Arabidopsis thaliana: one gene and its partners. The protein of the gene in region 1 interacts with the protein of each later gene in a biochemical or structural test. Each region holds a gene or a part of one and is shown in the gene's direction. Other genes may lie near its edges.

Region 1 (7,611 bases):
AAGAACAAACCTGAGCCATTGGCTTTCCCCTGTCTATATCCCGTTGTTTTCCTTCTCCTGTAACTCTCTCCTTATACTGCGCAATTTGCTCTTCTCCCCACTCTGCTATTTGAGCAATTTCCTGGGAACCCGTTTCATATGTTCAACACTTTTTTCCCTTCTCTTTTCGATTACCAAAATTGCTTGTCGATAGTCAAGGAATTGTACCTCATATCTGCATCCTAAGGTCCACCACGAAGATTTCAAAGCACCCCTAGCTGCGTCTTTCGCTTCTAAGTTACGCCCAAGTCTACAAAATATATAGAGGTCTTAGAGTTTTCTAGAAAGGACGTAAGCATTTACCTGGGGGTCGTTCACAAGGGAGAAAGAGGGATGATGAGAAAGGATCATACGAACTTCAGTAAAACTTTTGCGTTGAAAGCGAATGGCCGGGCAAATCCGGGAAAGTTCCCTCTCTTTGTATAAAACTCGGTAGCCACCAAAGCTGAAACCTTGTATTAGCACGTGAAGATAGTTTAAAAAGAGAAAACACGTCAACTACAACAGGATAGATATAATTACTAGCCTTACATGGTCTCCATTCTCGATATGCCGAATAACTTTTCGTTCAAGAGAATCTGGAAACAATCCAACCTGAATTACAAAGCTAATAATCATATCCCAGTATCCATGTGCAGAAAAGATTCTGATATTAACAGGCTCAATATATGTACCTTTCTTAAAAGATAGGCATCTAAATCCATCAGTCTTGAACTGGCAAAGTCACCCTTACTGTAAAGTTTCTTCCCAGCTTCACCAGCAGCATTGAAGATTTCTTGGCTGCATTCTTCGGGTTTGGAAACATCTTCTTCCACCAATATTCTGTGAATGAACTGATCAACCTGAATGTTGGCCAATGAAGTCAGATATGAGAATGAACACTCAACAAAAATAACCCTAAATTAACGCATCAGTAATGCTATAAAAAGACTCATTACATTATTAGCTAGAAACCAAACCCCATGTTTCTGAACTTCCACCACAGGCATCTCCATACTGCAAACACCACAAACAATGATAAGCTACAAAAGAAGAGAAACATGACGATATTAAAAAAGCAAGGAGGATCTAACCTAGAAGGAGCTGTTGGCCACCGTAATAGAGCAATTGAAGAACCTGAAAAAGGAAAGTCATACAAACTTAATATGAAAGTGTTACAACCTCAGATAAGAACTTATGTACAAGTCCAGAATCATACCCGGGCTCATTTTCACCAACGGAATAGTAAGAGGTAACAAGCCTTGCTTGGCACCAGGAGAAACTATGGATTTACCTGATCCAATGTCATTACCACAAGCAAAAGTCACCATTCCGCAAGTTAACAAACAAAAACTTCGAAAATACGATCAGCAAGTCAGTGTAAGATTGATTTACCTCTAGCTGTGAATATATTCAGCAGCTGCATCAGATGCTTAGGAGGCTGAGCTTTTGCTATATCCTTAATGAAACATTCATGTTCTGCACATAATCAATCGTTAACTTCGATTCACTGATTGTTCAAATTCGGCACCGTAAGAATCATAAACCAATCTCAAGCCATCGCACAGCTTCCAGAAGTTGCAAATGAAATAGCGAAGATGTGAATCCCTCTCACCAGATAGTGAAGAAGAAGAGCAAAAGGATCTGGCGAAGTTTCTGCTGCCATGGAGAAGTATCAGTCTACGTTTCCGTCCGAAAACCGCCGCGCCGCGATGCATCTCAGAGTTTTCCGATCGCCGTACTGTTTCTCGTCCGATGAGATTACAGAGAGACTTCGAAAAGCTGTTGCTGAAAAAAAAAACAAAAAATAAAGCCCAAACAAATAGGGTTTAAGAGCCCATTAAATCAGAGCCCAGCAACGTTCGTGTTTGTTTTGTTCAGTTGATATAGAACCAGTCTCGAACTCTAGTAGATTCGTTGTCTCGAGCTACGTGATATTCCGGTAAACCGTCGCCGGAGATGTACAGTAGATAATTCAAATCGAGCTGCCACGTCGCTATTTTCCCACCAACTTTTTTTTTTTTAAATAATTGGAAAAAGTTTCTAATTTACACGCTTCCCAATTCGTAAACAATGTTCTTTAAAAGTAAAACGAAATTTTTTTTGGATTTGAAGATAAAAGATCCAAAATAAAAACAAAATTGAAGATAAATTTTTAGGGTTTATAACGACCCGCCAAATTCCTTCTCTCCTCCAACATTTCAGATTTCGCGACCCGGATCTTAACCCGGACCCGCATTTGTTTCGGTTCCGATCTGGTTTCTTGACAATGGCGTCAGAAGCTTCGCCTTCTTCTTCGGCCACCAGATCGGAGCCACCCAAAGACTCTCCGGTGCGTCAATCGTTTTTTTTTTTTTTCTTACTTTCTAAAAATGGAACTTTTTTCTTTGTGCTATTGAGGCATTGACTTTGATTTGCTTTAGTTTGAGTGAAGAGAACGAAACTCGATGGCTTGTTTGAGCTTCTCTATATGCTCGTTTTTAGATCTAGAGATTGCTGGATTGTGAGATATGAAGTTGTTTTTGGGTTCGTTTAGGAACCATTTTTGCTGCAATTGATAGTTTCTCTCATTGAACACTGTGTAAAGGAACCTCATTTTGATGTTTCAGGCGGAGGAGAGAGGTCCAGCTTCTAAGGAAGTATCAGAAGTAATAGAATCGCTAAAGAAGAAGCTTGCAGCTGATAGGTGTATATCAATAAAGGTTGCTATTTTTGTTTAGTTTTTTTTTTGTATGTTTTATGTGTTTCTGAATCTGATTGTTAGAAATTGATGTGTTTGTAACCAGAAAAGGATTGATGAAAACAAGAAGAATTTGTTTGCTATTACTCAAAGTTTTATGAGGTCTTCTATGGAACGAGGAGGTAGCTGTAAAGATGGCAGTGATCTTTTAGTTAAGAGGCAAAGAGATTCGCCAGGTATGAAAAGCGGAATCGATGAAAGTAATAACAACAGATATGTAGAAGATGGACCTGCCAGTTCAGGAATGGTTCAAGGATCTAGTGTCCCTGTCAAAATTTCCTTACGTCCTATCAAAATGCCTGATATCAAACGTTTGTCACCTTATACCACATGGGTTTTTCTGGACAGGTATGTTGACATTAATGTCGCAAGAGTACTTGAAAATATTCAAGTTGAAATGTAAGCCCCTCGCATAGTATCTTAACGTTATAATCACTCTTGAAATGATGCAGAAATCAAAGAATGACTGAAGACCAGTCTGTAGTGGGTCGAAGGAGAATTTATTATGATCAAACTGGCGGGGAAGCGCTTATCTGCAGTGATAGTGAAGAGGAGGCCATTGACGACGAAGAAGAAAAAAGAGATTTTTTGGAGCCTGAAGATTATATTATTCGGTTAGTATTAAATGGCAGGAGTTTAATCATTCTTGCATTTTGGTCTCTTAGTGTGAATCTCTTGTCTGCTATGTCAACTGTTATGCTGGTTTGTTCTCACTTATATTGTTGGATTAAATTTCCCTTCGTTTCTTCAGCATGACCCTTGAGCAACTAGGTCTTTCAGACTCAGTCCTGGCGGAACTAGCAAGTTTCTTGTCTAGAAGTACTAGTGAAATCAAGGTATCAACAACTTTTTTCTCTGCCTATTGCTTGTGTGAACTATCATGTGCTATTTTCTTTAGAATCAAGCACTTCAGTTGTAGGATTTCAAAACAGAGTGAGGGATGCATTGTTTAAGGAAATCCAATTAGTATTGTTCCAGCCCTTTCCCAATTGGCTTTTTGCAGAGATATGAACACCGACCATCTTATACAGGCAAGACATGGAGTGCTTATGAAGGAAAAAGAAGTATCCGAGAGTGGCGATAATCAAGCAGAGAGCTCCCTTCTCAACAAAGATATGGAAGGAGCATTAGATTCTTTCGATAACCTGTTCTGCCGTAGATGCCTTGTTAGTCCATTTGATTTTCTCAGGCTAATGTTTCATGGGTTATTGCTTAATGATCGAGCAAACATTGGTCTCTTTTTAACTTTTGTATGCATCTATGCAGGTATTTGATTGCCGGCTTCATGGGTGTTCACAGGATCTCATTTTTCCGGTGAGTTTAGTGCCAACCGAAAAAATCTTACTATAACTTTAGTGTTACTTATCTAATTTTATGGATTTTTAGGCTGAGAAACCAGCTCCATGGTGTCCTCCTGTAGATGAAAATTTAACCTGTGGTGCAAACTGCTATAAAACGGTAAATTTGTTATTTTCTCGTTGCTAAGCTCATCTCCTAGAAAGACTGGTTTAACAAAAAGCGTTGTTTTCAATTTATCAGCTTCTCAAGTCTGGAAGATTTCCGGGATATGGCACCATTGAAGGTAAAACTGGCACTTCATCAGATGGTGCAGGTACTAAAACCACACCCACGAAGTTCTCCAGCAAACTTAATGGGAGAAAACCAAAGACCTTCCCAAGTGAAAGTGCATCGTCTAATGAAAAGTGCGCACTAGAAACAAGTGACTCAGAGAATGGACTACAGCAGGATACCAATTCCGATAAAGTTTCATCATCGCCAAAGGTGAAAGGTAGTGGGAGACGAGTAGGTCGTAAGAGGAACAAAAACCGAGTTGCTGAGCGAGTTCCTCGTAAGACTCAGAAGAGGCAGAAGAAGACAGAAGCCTCGGATAGTGATTCCATCGCCAGTGGAAGTTGTTCACCCAGCGATGCAAAACATAAAGATAATGAAGATGCTACTTCCTCTTCTCAGAAGCATGTAAAATCTGGGAACTCCGGGAAGTCAAGGAAGAATGGCACTCCTGCCGAAGTCTCCAATAATTCTGTGAAGGATGACGTTCCTGTTTGCCAGTCAAATGAGGTTGCGTCAGAGCTTGATGCGCCGGGTAGTGATGAAAGTCTAAGGAAAGAAGAGTTTATGGGTGAAACTGTATCTCGAGGAAGATTGGCTACAAATAAGTTGTGGAGACCACTTGAGAAAAGCCTTTTTGATAAAGGTGTTGAGATTTTTGGAATGAATAGGTGGGTAATTTTGATGTATTTAGCTACTGCTAAATTATCATTCTGCTTCAGGTTTTTCAATTTGTGGAATATAGTCATATGGATTCTTTGTTTCTTTGCAGCTGCTTGATTGCTAGAAATCTTTTGAGTGGTTTCAAATCATGTTGGGAGGTCTTCCAATACATGACGTGCTCGGAAAATAAAGCTTCCTTCTTTGGAGGTGATGGATTGAATCCTGATGGCTCTTCCAAGTTCGATATCAATGGAAATATGGTATATTAACACTAAACCTTTTTGACTTTGTTTACAAATTCCTGATAAAATCGATTTATTTCTCTTCGGATTTAATGCTTTAGTTTCTGGACTAACCAGGTTAATAACCAAGTGAGGAGAAGGTCAAGATTTCTACGTAGGAGAGGCAAAGTGCGGCGCTTGAAGTATACCTGGAAGTCTGCTGCATATCATTCAATTAGGAAAAGAATTACTGAGAAGAAAGACCAGCCCTGCCGTCAGTTTAATCCATGTAACTGCAAAATTGCTTGTGGGAAGGAATGTCCTTGTTTGCTAAACGGGACTTGCTGCGAGAAGTACTGCGGGTAATGTAATCTATGATTATCCACATCTGTATTTCTTAGCTTTGAATCTCATTACCAACAAACTATATTTTCTGTGTAGTTGCCCAAAGAGCTGCAAGAATAGGTTTAGAGGTTGTCATTGTGCCAAAAGTCAGTGTCGAAGCCGCCAGTGTCCATGCTTTGCTGCAGATCGGGAATGTGACCCAGATGTTTGTAGAAACTGCTGGGTCATGTAAGTCTTATTGGGGATGCAAATCCATCCTAATTGGTTTCTTAGAAAATGCTCAAGAAATGCAACTTTTTTTTTAGTAGTTCCAGATGCACTTATACTGTGTCTGAATGAATTTGAATGTGTAGTGGTGGGGATGGTTCGCTTGGGGTCCCAAGCCAAAGAGGCGATAATTATGAGTGCAGGAATATGAAATTGCTCCTGAAACAACAACAAAGGGTAAATACTTAGCCTTGTTAACTAAATATCTATGATCTGCAATCAAATGATTAAACATGAAATGGCTAAATTTCCTCCTCTTTTTTATGTTAATTTCAGGTTTTACTTGGAATATCTGATGTTTCTGGTTGGGGAGCTTTCTTAAAGGTATATTAGGTTCAAAATTTGTTAAACTGATAAGTCCTTCAAAGATTAATCTATGTTTAGAGTATGAACTTGCCTTAAGAACAATTATTTTTCCTTCTTACAGAACAGTGTAAGTAAGCATGAATACCTTGGGGAATACACAGGAGAGCTGATCTCACATAAAGAGGCAGATAAACGCGGGAAGATATACGATCGCGAGAACTGCTCTTTTCTCTTCAATCTAAACGATCAGGCACGTCTCAGCAGCTTTGAAATGTCCCAACTCTCTTTCTCTCTAGTCTCTAGGTTGTCTTCAAATTTTAAAATGTTTTTGGATTGTGCTGCAGTTTGTGCTAGATGCTTACAGGAAAGGAGATAAACTGAAATTCGCCAACCATTCTCCTGAACCTAACTGTTACGCAAAGGTAAAAATGTGAAAAGTGCAAGTTAAAGATACGGTTTTCGCATGATGGGTATGTTCTGTTTTTCCTCAAAATCTTTGTATCTGTTCAAGGTCATCATGGTTGCTGGAGATCACAGGGTGGGGATCTTCGCAAAAGAGAGGATACTGGCTGGAGAAGAACTATTTTACGATTACCGGTATGAGCCAGATCGAGCTCCAGCTTGGGCCAAAAAACCTGAAGCTCCTGGTTCTAAGAAAGACGAAAATGTTACACCTTCTGTTGGTAGACCCAAGAAGCTTGCTTAGCAACAAAAGAAACAACCATTTTTTTGTCAATTCTTTGGTTACAGGTGGAAGAACGCTTTAATCCTCATTACTCTCCACACGGAAGAACACATTGAAACAAATTCATACATTTTGCTGAGTCTAAAGAAAAATTGTATTCGTTGGATTAAAATTTCCTTTTTTCGTTTTACATTTCTGGATTATCATTTTATTGTACTGAGACTCGGGTTAAAGTTTTTAAATTACAGATGAGAAACTTGGTGAGCTTTGGAGCTGACATCAATGTGGTATTCCTCACACATCACAATCTATATAAATTAAATTAGGCGTCAGTGTACATTTGGTGATCAGAAAGTAACAAAACCAAATCAGAAAACGAACATGAGCAGCCAAATTAAAATGTACATTGACGCATAAACCTAAGAATTAAGATATACAAGAATGTTTGCGATAACCAAGATATAAATGCATCTATTCTATTTTCTCTTTGAAGGGTCCATCTTCATGCATCAGTCTGATGACATAATCCATCTGCGATGCACAAAGTTACATTGTTTAAGTCGATGATCCAATTACATAGCTATGTTTATATACTCTTTTAACACCATAACTTCAAAACATACCTGATTTGATTCGCGCACTAAAAACTCGTCTATGGCTTGCCTGAAACCTTCATCGAATATGTAATGGCAACTATATGTTTTAACGGGAAGGTAGCCTCGCTGAATCTTATGCTCACCCTGCGCTCCAGCTTCTACCGTTTTCAGATTAAGCTCTATCGCTGCTTCAATTGCCTA
Region 2 (8,089 bases), on another chromosome or scaffold:
TGTTTTGACCAATATATAAGTAGCAACATGAGCAATCATTCGGCGATTTACTTACTTGGATTGTGATAACACCTTCTTTGCCAACCTTCTCCATAGCCTTGGCAATAAGTTCACCAATTTCCCTCTCTCCATTAGCAGAAATGGTTCCAACCTGAGCAATCTCTTCAGATGTGCTGATCATCCTAGCCTTGCTTTTAAGGTTTGTCACCACAGCATCAACTGCCATGGAAATACCTCTTCGCAAGTCCATTGCATTCATTCCTGCGGCAACTGATTTGCATCCTTCGGCAAATATAGCCCGGGTGAGGACAGTAGCACAAGTAGTACCTGCATGACAAGTTAAACAAGCATTGGTACATAGTTTTGCAAAGTTTCTACAACTATGAACCGCATAATCAATCAAAATGAAATATCTTACCATCACCAGCAACATCATTAGTAGCATTTGCAACCTGCTTCACAAGACTAGCACCAACGTTCTTAATTTTGTCTTTGAACTCAATACTTTTGGCAACAGTAACACCATCTTTTGTCACTTTAGGAGCACCCCAACTTTGCTCAATCACAACATTACGTCCCTTCAAAATTAGAATCACATAAAGCAGAAAGTCTTAGACCAAATTCGATACAGAATCAACCGGTCACCCAAATCACATGCTAAGGAAGGAACCTCTGGCCAAATCATGTCCAAATCAAATCAAAATGTGTAGAAGAAAAAGAGTACCTTGGGACCCATGGTGACTTTAACAGCATCAGCAAGATCTTCAACACCCTTAAGCATCAAAGCTCGAGCTTCAACACCAAACTTAATCTCTTTCGCTGCATAGTTCCTGCTCCAGCTCATTCTGCTGGAAACCTGGCGAGCGTTTTGAGCAATCCTGAAGAACAGAGAACAATAAAGACACCATTTTTATTATCAGAACTGGCAATTCAGAATCGGGATTAAGCTAGTAGATTTCGAGAGCCCAGATGAATTTGAAGAGAGTAGATCAAAACCCAAATCGATTTAATTCCTCATTAGCTTCCAATGAGAGTGAATAAAAAACACGAAGAAAGTGAGTTCATTACCTTGCCTTGGAGGCGAGGTTAGAAGCGAAACGATACATGGTGAGTGAGAAGGAAGAGGATTAACGATGAAGAGATGATTCTGATGAGCGAGTTAGATTAGATCAATGGAGAACAGGCGGAGAGAGAGAGAGAGAGAGAAGAAGAGTTGAGAGGGCTTAATAAGCGAAGGAGAAGAGTCTAGAAGCAGCTGCTAGTTACTATATGAGCCTTTTAGGGTTTTAGGCCTCTTTAGGGTTTAACTTTCATTTCAAACTTAAAAATCGTTAATCTCATTTGACGAAAAAAAAAAAAAAAAAAGTCGTTAATCTCATTTTCCAATTTAATTTCTGTAATATTTTTTGCCCCAAAGAAACAGATTTCATTTTTTCATCTTTTGATAACCAGCATTTGTGATTTTGCCATAATATACATGTCAAATTTTATATAGCGTTTAACCAAAAAATAAAATAAAATTATATCGCTTGATCTAAATATCCTTGAATCTAATCAAACTGAACCACACCAAACCAAAGAAAACCAACGGTAATTAAATGGTTCCGGTTGGATTAGGTTTTTGGTTTAGGTTTGCTTCAGCTCTACAAAACAAATCGGTGTTTCGAGTTTTTTAAATTGAATTTGTTCTCTAAAATCAGTGGCAATTTGTGTAATATTTTACCTCAGTAAAAGTTTCTTAAATACGCAAAGATAAAAACTGATAATATGAAATAGAACTCCAAAAGAAATCCAAAATCCAAACAATGCAAACAAAAAAGTGAACCAAACCCCATAATAAACACCTAGATGATACCAAAAGGTTGACCTTGCTTCACTTTTTTTCTTCATTACTTTGCTCTTTTAGTTGTCCTAAAGTAGAGGAATTTGAAGCTTCTATTGATATTAAAATTTGTCAATTTCTCTCTTTAAAAACATGAGTAATTTGGTGGGCTGTCGTCATGTTCCACGGGCCACATGGATGCTCCTATTTATTTTCTTTACCTGTCATATGTGTCCATCACGACTCATTTCTCTCCATTTTTTTTTCTCTTAATTTTCTTACTACCTAAACATTCTCTCTTATTTTTCAAAAAATACAACAGACTATGAACAAATACATTACACACTTCTTATACATTTTTAAAATCAAAAGCTACATGAAATCTAAATTTCACCAAACAAACAATGAGTGAACGTTAAAAAAAAATTGCAACCAAACAAAGAAAAAAAAAAACGAGTAAAAACGTTTAATTCAAAGCAGAGAAGGGGAAAATAAAAAGAAAGGGATCTGTTAAAAAGAGATCTGACGAACAAAATTAATATTTGAACTTCGTCCTCCTCTCCTTCAGATCGAAAACCCTAATTTCGATTTCTTTGTTTGACAATTCCATCGATTTTTGAACTTGTTTTCTCGAGATCTCCATCTGTTTCCTCCACCCCGAAATTTCAACGATATCTTCTCGATCTGTGCGTCAGGATCTGGGCTTTTTGAAATTTGAGTTTTCTCCTCAATCATAACAACGGCGATTTCCGGGAATGGCTTTGGCTAAAACGGATTCAATGGTAATTGAAAAAGCATTGATTTGAAGCAATTGGAGAGGGAACATTTCCCTCTGCGAGATTTCGAGTATTTTTCAATGGCATCAGCTACTAGTTCCCGGAGGCAAGAGGACGTTGAAGCTGGACGCCGTAAGGTAGATCATCATCATCATAATCATCATCTTTTGTTTGATTCTCTCGTTACTTTGAATTTGCCCCTAAAATTTGTCGGTGCTGAGTCAATTGATCATTTTTTTTAGGTGGGTTGTTTATATTGGAATTGAGATTGATGTCCTAACGCATGCAATCAGAATTGAGATTTATTCGACAAAAAGCTTGTTTTTTTTAAAGATGAATGCGTAAAATTGTGTGTTTCTTATCGTTTAATTTCTGGATTTTCAGCTTGAGCAGTTTCGTAAACGAAAAGCAGCAGAAAAAGCTAAAAAGGCATCACAGAATACACAACCTGTTGATAATAGCCAACAAAGTGTCATAGATTCAGATGGAGCTGGTGCATCTATCTCTAATGGACCTCTCAAGCAATCTGCTGAATCTACCTCAAATGAAACCCATACCAAAGATGTATATAATTTATCATTTTCGAATACAGCAATGGATGATGGAAGCAAAGAAAGAAGTAGACAAGATGATGGTCAGGAATCAGTGGGCAAAGTTGATTTTTCTAATAGCTTAGAGTTGATAGGTTCATCGAAGGACTTAACAGTGAATACTAGGCCTGAAGTTGTACCTTATAGCAATATAGACAAGCAATCGAGTGAAAGTTTTGATCGTGCTTCTACTCTAAGAGAAACTGCATCTCTTTTTTCTGGAACCTCAATGCAAATGGATGGTTTCATTCACGGCAGTGGATTAACCTCATCCAGAAAAGGTACGTGGCTATCATATGAGGTTAATGTAGTAATGTATTTTGTCCTAACCCTCCTTCTTTTTTGTTCCTTAAAGGCAACAACCTAATTTATCATTACGGTTTTTGTTGCTAGACTCTCTACAACCTACTACCAGGATGGCAGGGTCTTTTGACGAAGTTGCCAAAAACCAACAGGGAAGTGGTGAACTAGGAGGTAGCATTGTGCAGAAGCCAACTTTGTCAAGCAGTTATTTGTTTAATTCTCCAGACACATCATCTCGACCTTCTGAACCTTCAGATTTCAGTGTGAATATCACAAGCTCTTCACCATTAAACTCAGCTAAGAGTGAAGCAACTGTGAAGAGATCTCGTCCGTCTTTCCTTGATTCCCTCAATATATCAAGAGCTCCAGAGACTCAATATCAACACCCTGAGATACAAGCGGATTTGGTTACATCCAGTGGTTCCCAACTATCTGGCAGTGATGGTTTTGGGCCATCTTATATATCAGGGAGAAGAGACAGTAATGGACCATCATCTTTGACAAGCGGAGCATCTGATTATCCTAATCCATTTGAAAAGTTTCGGAGTTCTTTATATCCTGCTGCCAATGGAGTAATGCCAGGTTTTACTGATTTCTCTATGCCAAAACAAAATGATGATTTTACTGCTCTGGAACAGGTAAGATACTTATTTCTTGCACCATCTTTTATTTTGTTAATGTATTGTCAATTGCTACTTAGTATGGTCTTCTCATTTAGAAGAACTAAGTGGGGAATTGATCTGATGTTATATAAAGACGACCAAATCGTCAAAGATATTGAGTGGATGCCTCTCGCTGGCTGGATCATAATCTTCTTACCTTGTCTTGGATTGCTCTTTGATTTTTCTTTAGGATGTTAGCTAACACTGTTCGTCTTTGTACACCCTTTGTCCTGTGACTTTTCTGAGCTACAGTTTCATTTTTCACTTGCAGCATATTGAGGATTTAACACAAGAAAAGTTTTCACTGCAAAGGGATCTTGATGCTTCACGTGCACTGGCAGAATCCTTAGCATCAGAGAATTCTTCAATGACAGACACTTATAACCAGCAGGTACATGCAAGCTTATGGCATCCTAGCTGAATACTGGCCAACTCTGATTTTTGTACTAGAAAACAATCTTGACCACTTATAGTAGATGACTAATTATTTGCATTTTATCATGCTTAATTATTAGCAAGAGTATACTGTCATGTGGTTTTAGGATCCTTGGGAAATGGAAATATAAGAATATTTATTATTCATGATGTGGATGGATGTGATTTGAGTCTTTCGTTAAAGCGTTATGCTCTTGAATTAAACCATGTTTAGACTTTGTTGCGAAAACACACAGTGTTAGACTATGTGTTTGGAGAAGGTGCTTCAGGATGTCTACCTAGTTGACATTTACTGGGCTTGTCTACTTTTGAGAATGCATGATGTTATATATTGTTTGCTATAAGACATGGTGTCCACTGAGCTTTATAATAGTCACAAATCCTCCCAATGTTTTATGTAATACTTGTTCTCGTTTCTATCTCATACAGAGAGGTCTTGTCAACCAACTAAAAGATGACATGGAGAGGCTATATCAACAGATCCAAGCCCAAATGGTAAGTATTAACTGCCTATACAGTCACCAAATTCCAGTTGTATATGATCGAACAGTATACTTTATTAAAGCATGATATTGCATTTTTCTACATCCCTGTACTATTAGATTGTTTGATGTTTACTTACAAAACTAAAAATTGGAGTATGATTCTGGATGAGTAATTGCATGCCATGTTCTTTCATGCACTGGAGCTATTTCTAGATTACTTTAAAAGCTGTTACTTGATTTAACACTAATTCTGTCCAGGGCGAACTTGAGTCTGTCAGGGTTGAGTATGCAAACGCGCAGCTAGAATGTAATGCTGCTGATGAGCGTTCCCAAATACTGGCTTCTGAAGTCATCAGTTTGGAAGATAAGGTATTTGGCTTTGGATGTTATGTCTTACAATAACATTAAATTTGAAAAAACAACTAACATTTTTGGCTTACTTAGCTGCAAAAGTGTGCAGTGACATGTTTAGTTTAGTTTTTGAATATTTCAGCTGTGAAATATCTGTTTCGTCTACCTTCAGATGCTTACCTGTTTAGCTTGGATTTTTCTTGGAACATATATTAGGCTCTCAGACTCAGATCTAATGAGTTAAAGCTGGAGAGGGAACTGGAGAAGGCACAAACAGAAATGTTATCTTACAAGTAGGCTCTTTACTGTATTCTATTCATGTCCGTAACTTCACCTTTACATGATGTTTGATCCAAAAAGAACCGTGGGATACTGGAAAACTCCCTATGGATTCAGTCTGTAACTTTTATGGCTTTCTGGGTTCTATTTTATCTTACCTATCAACTTCAATAGGAAAAAATTGCAGAGCTTAGAGAAAGATCGTCAAGATTTACAATCTACTATTAAAGCTCTTCAGGAAGGTATGCACATTGAAATCTACTCCTCTAAGGAGTAATGTGATTGAACAATGCATTAGCTTATTTTCTGCATCTACTGTTGCAGAGAAGAAGGTCCTACAAACTATGGTGCAGAAAGCTTCATCTGGTGGAAAATCCACTGATCTGAGTAAAAACTCAACTAGCAGAAAGAACGTGTCAACCTCTACAGAAGGTCTTGGTAATGGTCTTTGCACACTATTTAAGAAATCTGAAGCGTATTTTGGATGTCTAAACTCATACATTTGCATCTTCGGCAAACCTTAGATAAAAAGTTTCAAGTTTAATCTTTGACTTCTAACCAGTCCCCTGACTCTTTGGATTCTTCGTGCAGCAATCTCAGATACTACGCCAGAGAGCTCCAACCAGGAAACAGATTCTACTACTCTGCTCGAAAGTGATTCATCTAATACAGCTATCATTCCTGAAACTAGACAATTAACTCTTGAAGGCTTTTCATTGAGCGTCCCAGCTGATCAGATGAGAGTGATTCATAACATTAATACGCTGATTGCTGAGGTAGTTTTTATGGATGATTGATTTGATGTTTTCTTTAGCTGTGAGAAGCAATACTTTTTAATTCTCAAGGTGCTATCATTTTCTCAATCTGGATAATAACGTGATGATTATTTTGTTTCTTCGGCTGCAGTTGGCAATTGAGAAGGAAGAACTGGTGCAAGCACTGTCATCTGAGTTATCTCGAAGTGCGCATGTGCAGGTACAGTAACATAAATTCATGGGGCTAAAAACATGTCTTCTTTGACTTGAGTAAGAATTTTCTGTCACCATAACATCATGCATAAGTTCTCTGGCTGAGCTTTCTATATGGTACTCCGAGTCCTCATAGACTCAAAATCCAAGGCCTTGTCTTCTTCTTATACTCTTTTTTTTTTCCATGCTGGTCCCTGCGCTCCTTATTTTCTCTGGGTCTTTTATAAGTTACGTTTTACTGTTTGTGTGTTTATTCTGTATCCCCAAATCATTTATATTTCTCATGTTTCATAACCATAGGAGCTGAACAAAGAGTTATCCAGAAAACTTGAAGCGCAGACGCAAAGGTTAGAGCTTGTAACAGCGCAGAAGATGGCCATAGACAATGTTTCACCAGAAAAGCAGCAGCCGGACACTCATGTTGTTCAAGAGAGAACACCGATTGCAGATGAAGGCGATGAGGTACTCTCTCATGTTCTCTGTGTTCAGAGTTTATAAAGTTCAATCTGAGAAAGACCACAGTTTAATGATATCTCTCTCTCTCTTTAGGTGGTAGAAAGGGTTCTAGGATGGATCATGAAGATGTTCCCAGGAGGACCGTCGAAAAGAAGGACAAGCAAGCTTCTCTAATGCATGGATGGCTTGCTCAGTCGTGACCCTTGTTGCCATTCTGTATATCCCGGGCACAGCCATGGATTGCTTCTTCTCCTTTAGTTTTGGAAGAATTCATTTGGTTCTTTTGATCCAAAATTTTGGATTTCATTGGATTGAGCAAAAATGGTATAGTGAGAAACACCATGAACTTGAAGAGTTCCAAATGGATAGAGGAGACTCGGAAGCTTAAACAGAGAGAAAGGTAGTTGTTATATGAGTGCGTTTTTGTCTGAATTTTGTAATTGTTGATTATATAGCCAAGTTAAAGTGTTCCTCCTAGCAAATATAATTTACCAAGAAAAAATCTTGTATGGTTTCGGATATATTTTATCTTCTCGTTTTAAATTGAAGACTTGATCAAACTATGAAATACAAGTGTTAACACTATCGGTTATGTTCAAATACTGTTCATTTCAGTCCGAAGTACAATTAGGTGATTACACACACACAATTTGATCTAAGAGTATATGAGCCATTCAACAAGAGGAACTATCTGGTATCTAATGATAATCTAATCTAATCTAAAATTTAAAACATTTAGAAGCCATTGTGGATTACACTTTATCTTCAGTAACCAATCAGAATTGGGTTAAAACAAACGAGTGGTTGATATAAAAAGATGTATATTAGAGACTTTGAGTTACCATAATCCTATTTTGTTATTCTATAAATATGTGTAATCTTTTGTTTAACCTCATAGTTTCGATAAGATAACCTACTTTGTTCGTTGCCGCCGCCCACCGTAAAAATCTTCATTTGTTATG
Region 3 (6,030 bases), on another chromosome or scaffold:
TTTTTATATATTGATTACTTGAATTTATAATAGGATTGGTACAAAGGTGGTAATTATAAAGTGCATTTTTTTGGATATTGTTCAATTCAAATATTTTTACTTAGATTCTCAAACTATTGAAAAATATCCAAAATATCCGGAAAATTTCAATTTAATCGAATAAAAAAATTAGAATGGAAAGAATAAAAAATTATCGGGTACAATTAGAAGAGTAATGTGTTTAGTTTGGTTTTTACTCGGATACCAGTTCAGTTTTCACGTATTATTCGATCCTATAGGAGCAATTGTGAATTAGTTGTGAGATTTTGGGAGCATTCGCTTCCAGAACTTAGTGCTAGGAGAAATGCTATTTTCCTATAAGAGTTGTACGAGGAAGCGAGCAAGTACACAACAACCACAAAAGCTTTCAATACTTGTTTACTCCTAGGGTTTAAAACTAGAGGTTCTATAGATCTCTAAATTTTTTTGAACAAATGTGTTTTCCACACGTGATATTCTACAATACCACTCGAAAATTATCCATAATTGCTTTAAACTATTTTTTTGTTTAAATTATATAATTTGTACCGTTGTAAACTGATTATTTCAAATTATAATTAAAGCACTATAATTTCATATATTACATTCAACATATATTAAAATAAACTATAACCATGTATTTTTTTGTCTTCCTTTCCTATAAACATTGATTGGACTCTATCGTAAATTTTGTCGTTATCGCAAATTTTGTCGTTATCGATGAGTTTCTCAAAGTTTGGACCTTGATTATCTTGTTTGGAGATGTTCAAATCGTTATATCCAAATAGTGAACTTCTAATTTTCTTTTTTGATAATGTGACTTATTTGGAAAAGTATTCCAAAGTATTCAAATAAACCCTTTAAAAATCCATTAAATACATTTTAAATAAGTAAAATGCTCTCAACGAAGAGATATCATGGTAAATAACAACAGTGAGAGGATAAAATGTTAAATCAATTTATTTACAACTTCAAATAGGCGGACATCAAACCTACTTAGCACACTTTCTATTTTCAAATTGGTTATGGTTTGTCTATTAGTTGTTGCATCTATGTTTTTTAATTCTTATATCGGTGATCTTGATTTTGTTTTGGTGTATCTAAAATCTATTTTAGTTAAAGTGCAAGAAAATAAAATAAAAACTTAAGGTAAGAGATGAAAGTAAGCTTTAAATAAAACAGAGCACTTCTATGGTCGATTATAGAGCCAAGTTCGTTCCTCCATTTTGGCTTAATGCAATATTACAAGTAAATCTTATAAAACTTTCCATAAGTATCGTATTACCCATGGATACTATGATATATAAACTCTCGGAGGTGTAGTCCAGAAGAAATGATCCATATTTGCATACAGTAAACTTGATGGAAAAAATATGTGGTACTGTTGGAATTGTAGCTATTGAGTATCAAATTTGAGAAAAAGGTAAAAAAATATGTAAAATTTGGGTGGAAGAAAAGAATTACATAAAATTGAGAAATGTATGTAATTGACAAAATAATGTTTTCAAAACATAAAAACGTGATACCATTTAAATCCAAACCTTATATCATTTAACCATTTTTAGTAAAACTAATAGTAATGAATGGTCAATAATATAAGATTACATATTAAATAATTACTACTTTCAGAAAATTTCAATCAAATCTATAATATTCCTTTGAAAAAAAAGAAAGACAAATAGGTAAACTTCGATCGTATCAATCAAAGAATATATTTATTTTTCATCGTAACGTTTAATTCTAAGTCCTATTAAAAAACGTTAAATTTGATTTTTCTTACCATTTTTTTCTAAAAGGTGAGTTGTGTGTTGTGTCAGGTCCAAAATAAAAGTTTGTCGTGAGGTCAAAATCTACGGTTACAGTAATTTTAATAACCTGTGAATCTGTGTCTAATCGAAAATTACAAAACACCAGTTGTTGTTGCATGAGAGACTTGTGAGCTTAGATTAGTGTGCGAGAGTCAGACAGAGAGAGAGATTTCGAATATCGAATGTCGAAGATAACCTTAGGGAACGAGTCAATAGTTGGGTCTTTGACTCCATCGAATAAGAAATCGTACAAAGTGACGAATAGGATTCAGGAAGGGAAGAAACCTTTGTATGCTGTTGTTTTCAACTTCCTTGATGCTCGTTTCTTCGATGTCTTCGTTACCGCTGGTGGAAATCGGGTAAAAGATCTCGACTTTCAATTCGAAATCACTGTTTTCAATTCTGGGTCTGTTTAGGTTTTGATTCAGATTGATTGTAACATTAAGGCCTTTCCTTTTGTGTTTGATTTTGGATTCTGATTTCTAGCCTTTAGTGAGATTAAAAGATTGAAACTTTGCTTGATGCTATAGTCTAAGATTATGTAACATTTAGTTCAAACTTTCTGGTTTTGGAGATTTTGTGGAAGATATGGTTTTTGTTTTCTAATTTAAAGTGAACTCATTACCTTATACACTTGATTTGCATTCTGTTCTAAAAAAAATTGAAACTTTGGTTGATGTTGTTAGTCTGCTTATCTAAGGAGGTTCCTTTTGAAACGGTCATCAAGTGAGTTATGAAGCGTTTAGTTTAAGCTTTCCTGTATTGGAGATTTTGTGGAAGTTATTTTTTTTTCTAATTTTGAAACTAGATAGAGTGAAGTCATTACCTTATACATTAGACTGCTCTATTTTGTTTTCAATGTGGGTTCCGAATGTACCTGATAGTGGCTCTTTAGGCTCATTTGTATTCGTCGAAACATCGATCGGATACCCGTTTGGGCTTAGTAGGCTCTGATACCGCGTAAAGTTCTCGGGTTCCATGAAAAACCAATCGGTAATGAGTGGAGTTAATTTGTAATCGTCTTCGGTCGAGCATTTGGGATTAGTGGGCTTTGATACCATGTGAAAGTCCTTGGGGTCCAATCGGCAATGAGTAGAGTTAACTTGTAATCTTACACACTTGGTTAGGTCTCATTCTCTTTATAATGTTGTGTGCCTAACAGTTTCCGCACTAAGGTTGTTTGGTTGCTCAGTCTCAATATACTTATCTTAACTAGTTGTAGTTTTTTTCATCTTTCCTAGTTTCCGTTGGATTTTAAATTGAATGATTTACTAGTTAGAAATATTTGAGTTTCTCATAGAAGCTTTAACCAAGGGGTTCTTTCATTTAACCTTTACTTAGCTAGTTCATGAATCTCATTACTGCCATTGGTGTATCTCTTATTATGTAGATTACTCTGTACAATTGTCTCGGAGATGGTGCCATATCAGCATTGCAATCCTATGCTGATGAAGATGTAAGGAAGCATACATATTAGCTTTTCCATCAAATTAAAGTAAGTGATGTTTCACTGAGGCCATTTGGTTATATTTTGTCTATGTCCTCTGGAGAGCAGAAGGAAGAGTCGTTTTACACGGTAAGTTGGGCGTGTGGCGTTAATGGGAACCCATATGTTGCGGCTGGAGGAGTAAAAGGTATAATCCGAGTCATTGACGTCAACAGTGAAACGATTCATAAGGTATTATTGCATTTTTATGGATGTTCTATGTATCCTAGCAAATGATTCTATATCTTTCTTGTATAATCTGTGCTCGCAAATGTGCAGAGTCTTGTGGGTCATGGAGATTCAGTGAACGAAATCAGGACACAACCTTTAAAACCTCAACTTGTGATTACTGCTAGCAAGGTATATCTCTTGGCTTTCTTTTCTTCCTAAAGTATCCTGACTTCTTTTTTATTTGTTGGTGATTAAGAGCTGTTACGTTTTAATTGAATAAGGATGAATCTGTTCGTTTGTGGAATGTTGAAACTGGGATATGTATTTTGATATTTGCTGGAGCTGGAGGTCATCGCTATGAAGTTCTAAGTGTGGTGAGCCAATATTGTTTTATCTAATTCAGTTAGTTTTCTACAATAATATATAGAGACAATGTTAAGGGGAACCATCTTATTTTGAAAATTGTAGGATTTTCATCCGTCTGATATTTACCGCTTTGCTAGTTGTGGTATGGACACCACTATTAAAATATGGTCAATGAAAGGTACGATCGAGCACATATTGTAATAAACTTCCATTTTAAAAAACCTTTTGAGAAAAATGGCTTGTGGTTCGTTTGTATGATCTTCTTATTCTTTGGCTGTCTATAGAGTTTTGGACGTACGTCGAGAAGTCATTCACATGGACTGATGATCCATCAAAATTCCCCACAAAATTTGTCCAATTCCCTGTAAGTATTTTGTTTTAGCCTTGTCTTGTAACAACAAGTGACATACAAATATTGGTGATGGCCTTTGTAAATAACATTACTTCTATATGTAGGTATTTACAGCTTCCATTCATACAAATTATGTAGATTGTAACCGTTGGTTTGGTGATTTTATCCTCTCAAAGGTTAGTAAGTCAATGATGGTTAAGATTAATTCATTTGGTGTACTGTTAAAACACTTTACTCTTGTGTTGTTCTATCGGATTTTAGAGTGTGGACAACGAGATCCTGTTGTGGGAACCACAACTGAAAGAGAATTCTCCTGGCGAGGTTAGGATCTCATTGTTGCTCCAAACACAACATAATCATTCATTTCATCACATATATTTACAGTTGAACTTTTTGTGGTTTGCAGGGAGCTTCAGATGTTCTATTAAGATACCCGGTTCCAATGTGTGATATTTGGTTTATCAAGTTTTCTTGTGACCTCCATTTAAGTTCTGTTGCGATAGGTAATCAGAGAGCTCGTTAGATACAAATTTGCATTCTATAGATAGATTACTTCAACTTTTCTTATTCATTTTGTGACAAATTACTCGCTGGTTTGTTATCAGGTAATCAGGAAGGAAAGGTTTATGTCTGGGATTTGAAAAGTTGCCCTCCTGTTTTGATTACAAAGTAAGTTAGTTTCGGATTCAGATACAATGTTTGATCTTTAAGAAATGTTTTAGTCTTGACATGATTTTCTGTTGCCATATAGGTTATCACACAATCAATCAAAGTCTGTAATCAGGCAAACAGCCATGTCTGTCGATGGAAGGTATAAATCCATCTTCTCTCTCACCAATGCAGTGAAAATTTCTTAATGTTATTTATGACTCAATAGTTACTGTAAATCAAACCAAACTTTGGATTCTGACACACTGTTTCTTCCATGGGATTGTAGCACGATTCTTGCTTGCTGCGAGGACGGGACTATATGGCGCTGGGACGTGATTACCAAGTAGCGGTCTGAGTCTTGTAGGAATTGATGAATTAGGAGTGCGAAGAAATGAGATATCCATTCTTTTATTGTAATTCTGATCATGTTGCTACTCCCTGAGACCTTGAGATGCTCTTTGTAGCCTTGTTAACGTCCACCCTTGTACCACAGTGTATACCCTTTCTGGAGATTTTGTCTTATTCTCTTAGTTCAATACACAAGGCTGTATCCTGGAGCTTTATTGCAGGAACCACTCTCTTTCATAAGCTTTCTAGTATTCAAAGCATTGTCCCATGCTCCATTAGCTGCATACACACTGGCCAAATTGATGTAATTGACTGGTTTCCTCGGTTCCATACTCAGAAGCTGCGTGGCTGCTACTTTACTGAGCTGCACATTCCCATGGCGCCTGCATGCATCAAGAAAAGCTCCCCATGTTGATGAGCTAAGACTTACAATACCCTCTTTACTTCTTATCAGTGCATAAGCTTCTTCCAAGTAGCCACTGCGCGCAAGCATATCTATGATGCAAGATAAGTGCTCTTCTCGAGCTTCGATTCCGTGCTTGTTGATCATTGTGTCGTAAATCTTCCAGCCTAGTTCGGTTTGTCCTGTATGACTACAAGCAGAGAGGAGAGAAAGAAATGTAACGTCATTCGGTTTGATCCTTTCATGCTCCATTCTGTTATAAAGATCAATTGCTTTCTCAAAATTCCCATGTCTTCCATATCCTGCAATCAAAGAGGTCCATGATCTCACATCTTTCTCTTTCATCTCTTCGAAAGCCAGGACTGCATCCTCGATTTCCCCAGACTTTGCATACATATCTATCAGCGAATTCCCCAAAGCAACATCG

What was found.
Region 2: the proteins of CLF (region 1) and BLI form a complex in vitro, tested with the Arabidopsis thaliana proteins (one study listed by BioGRID).
Region 3: the proteins of CLF (region 1) and FIE form a complex in vitro, tested with the Arabidopsis thaliana proteins (one study listed by BioGRID).

What each region holds. Positions count from the first base shown.
Region 1 is NC_003071.7:9,953,283-9,960,893, forward strand, and holds CLF (SET domain-containing protein), read left to right. Parts: upstream 1-1,809; 5' UTR 1,810-2,287; coding exon 2,288-2,350; intron 2,351-2,627; coding exon 2,628-2,720; intron 2,721-2,804; coding exon 2,805-3,106; intron 3,107-3,210; coding exon 3,211-3,372; intron 3,373-3,509; coding exon 3,510-3,594; intron 3,595-3,731; exon of another isoform or gene 3,732-3,765; coding exon of another isoform or gene 3,766-3,789; coding exon 3,790-3,924; intron 3,925-4,024; coding exon 4,025-4,072; intron 4,073-4,144; coding exon 4,145-4,216; intron 4,217-4,297; coding exon 4,298-4,998; intron 4,999-5,099; coding exon 5,100-5,250; intron 5,251-5,349; coding exon 5,350-5,573; intron 5,574-5,652; coding exon 5,653-5,784; intron 5,785-5,909; coding exon 5,910-6,000; intron 6,001-6,099; coding exon 6,100-6,147; intron 6,148-6,250; coding exon 6,251-6,379; intron 6,380-6,473; coding exon 6,474-6,551; intron 6,552-6,640; coding exon 6,641-6,835; 3' UTR 6,836-7,104; downstream 7,105-7,611. Other genes in the region: AT2G23370 (cyclin delta-3), read right to left, coding at 11-121, 208-289, 397-491, 571-633, 714-881, 978-1,035, 1,113-1,155, 1,238-1,312 and 2 more; AT2G23390 (acyl-CoA), read right to left, coding at 7,286-7,345, 7,438-7,608. UniProt on the Arabidopsis thaliana protein: Polycomb group (PcG) protein. Catalytic subunit of some PcG multiprotein complex, which methylates 'Lys-27' of histone H3, leading to transcriptional repression of the affected target genes, mainly abscisic acid (ABA) responsive elements.
Region 2 is NC_003074.8:8,662,030-8,670,118, reverse strand, and holds BLI (BLISTER), read left to right. Parts: upstream 1-2,078; 5' UTR 2,079-2,678; coding exon 2,679-2,735; intron 2,736-2,982; coding exon 2,983-3,469; intron 3,470-3,581; coding exon 3,582-4,129; intron 4,130-4,424; coding exon 4,425-4,544; intron 4,545-5,017; coding exon 5,018-5,083; intron 5,084-5,331; coding exon 5,332-5,442; intron 5,443-5,640; coding exon 5,641-5,717; intron 5,718-5,877; coding exon 5,878-5,945; intron 5,946-6,027; coding exon 6,028-6,141; intron 6,142-6,294; coding exon 6,295-6,479; intron 6,480-6,609; coding exon 6,610-6,678; intron 6,679-6,971; coding exon 6,972-7,133; intron 7,134-7,220; coding exon 7,221-7,301; 3' UTR 7,302-7,706; downstream 7,707-8,089. Other genes in the region: HSP60 (heat shock protein 60), read right to left, coding at 56-327, 419-578, 725-878, 1,069-1,106. UniProt on the Arabidopsis thaliana protein: Is required for normal leaf, flower and seed development and controls cotyledon and leaf patterning by inhibiting premature differentiation. Regulates the expression of a subset of PcG target genes.
Region 3 is NC_003074.8:7,248,233-7,254,262, reverse strand, and holds FIE (Transducin/WD40 repeat-like superfamily protein), read left to right. Parts: upstream 1-1,810; 5' UTR 1,811-2,008; coding exon 2,009-2,185; intron 2,186-3,028; exon of another isoform or gene 3,029-3,216; coding exon 3,217-3,282; intron 3,283-3,381; coding exon 3,382-3,504; intron 3,505-3,591; coding exon 3,592-3,672; intron 3,673-3,764; coding exon 3,765-3,857; intron 3,858-3,951; coding exon 3,952-4,027; intron 4,028-4,133; coding exon 4,134-4,213; intron 4,214-4,305; coding exon 4,306-4,377; intron 4,378-4,462; coding exon 4,463-4,522; intron 4,523-4,607; coding exon 4,608-4,704; intron 4,705-4,806; coding exon 4,807-4,870; intron 4,871-4,952; coding exon 4,953-5,012; intron 5,013-5,138; coding exon 5,139-5,199; 3' UTR 5,200-5,384; downstream 5,385-6,030. Other genes in the region: AT3G20730 (PPR superfamily protein), read right to left, coding at 5,385-6,030. UniProt on the Arabidopsis thaliana protein: Polycomb group (PcG) protein. PcG proteins act by forming multiprotein complexes, which are required to maintain the transcriptionally repressive state of homeotic genes throughout development.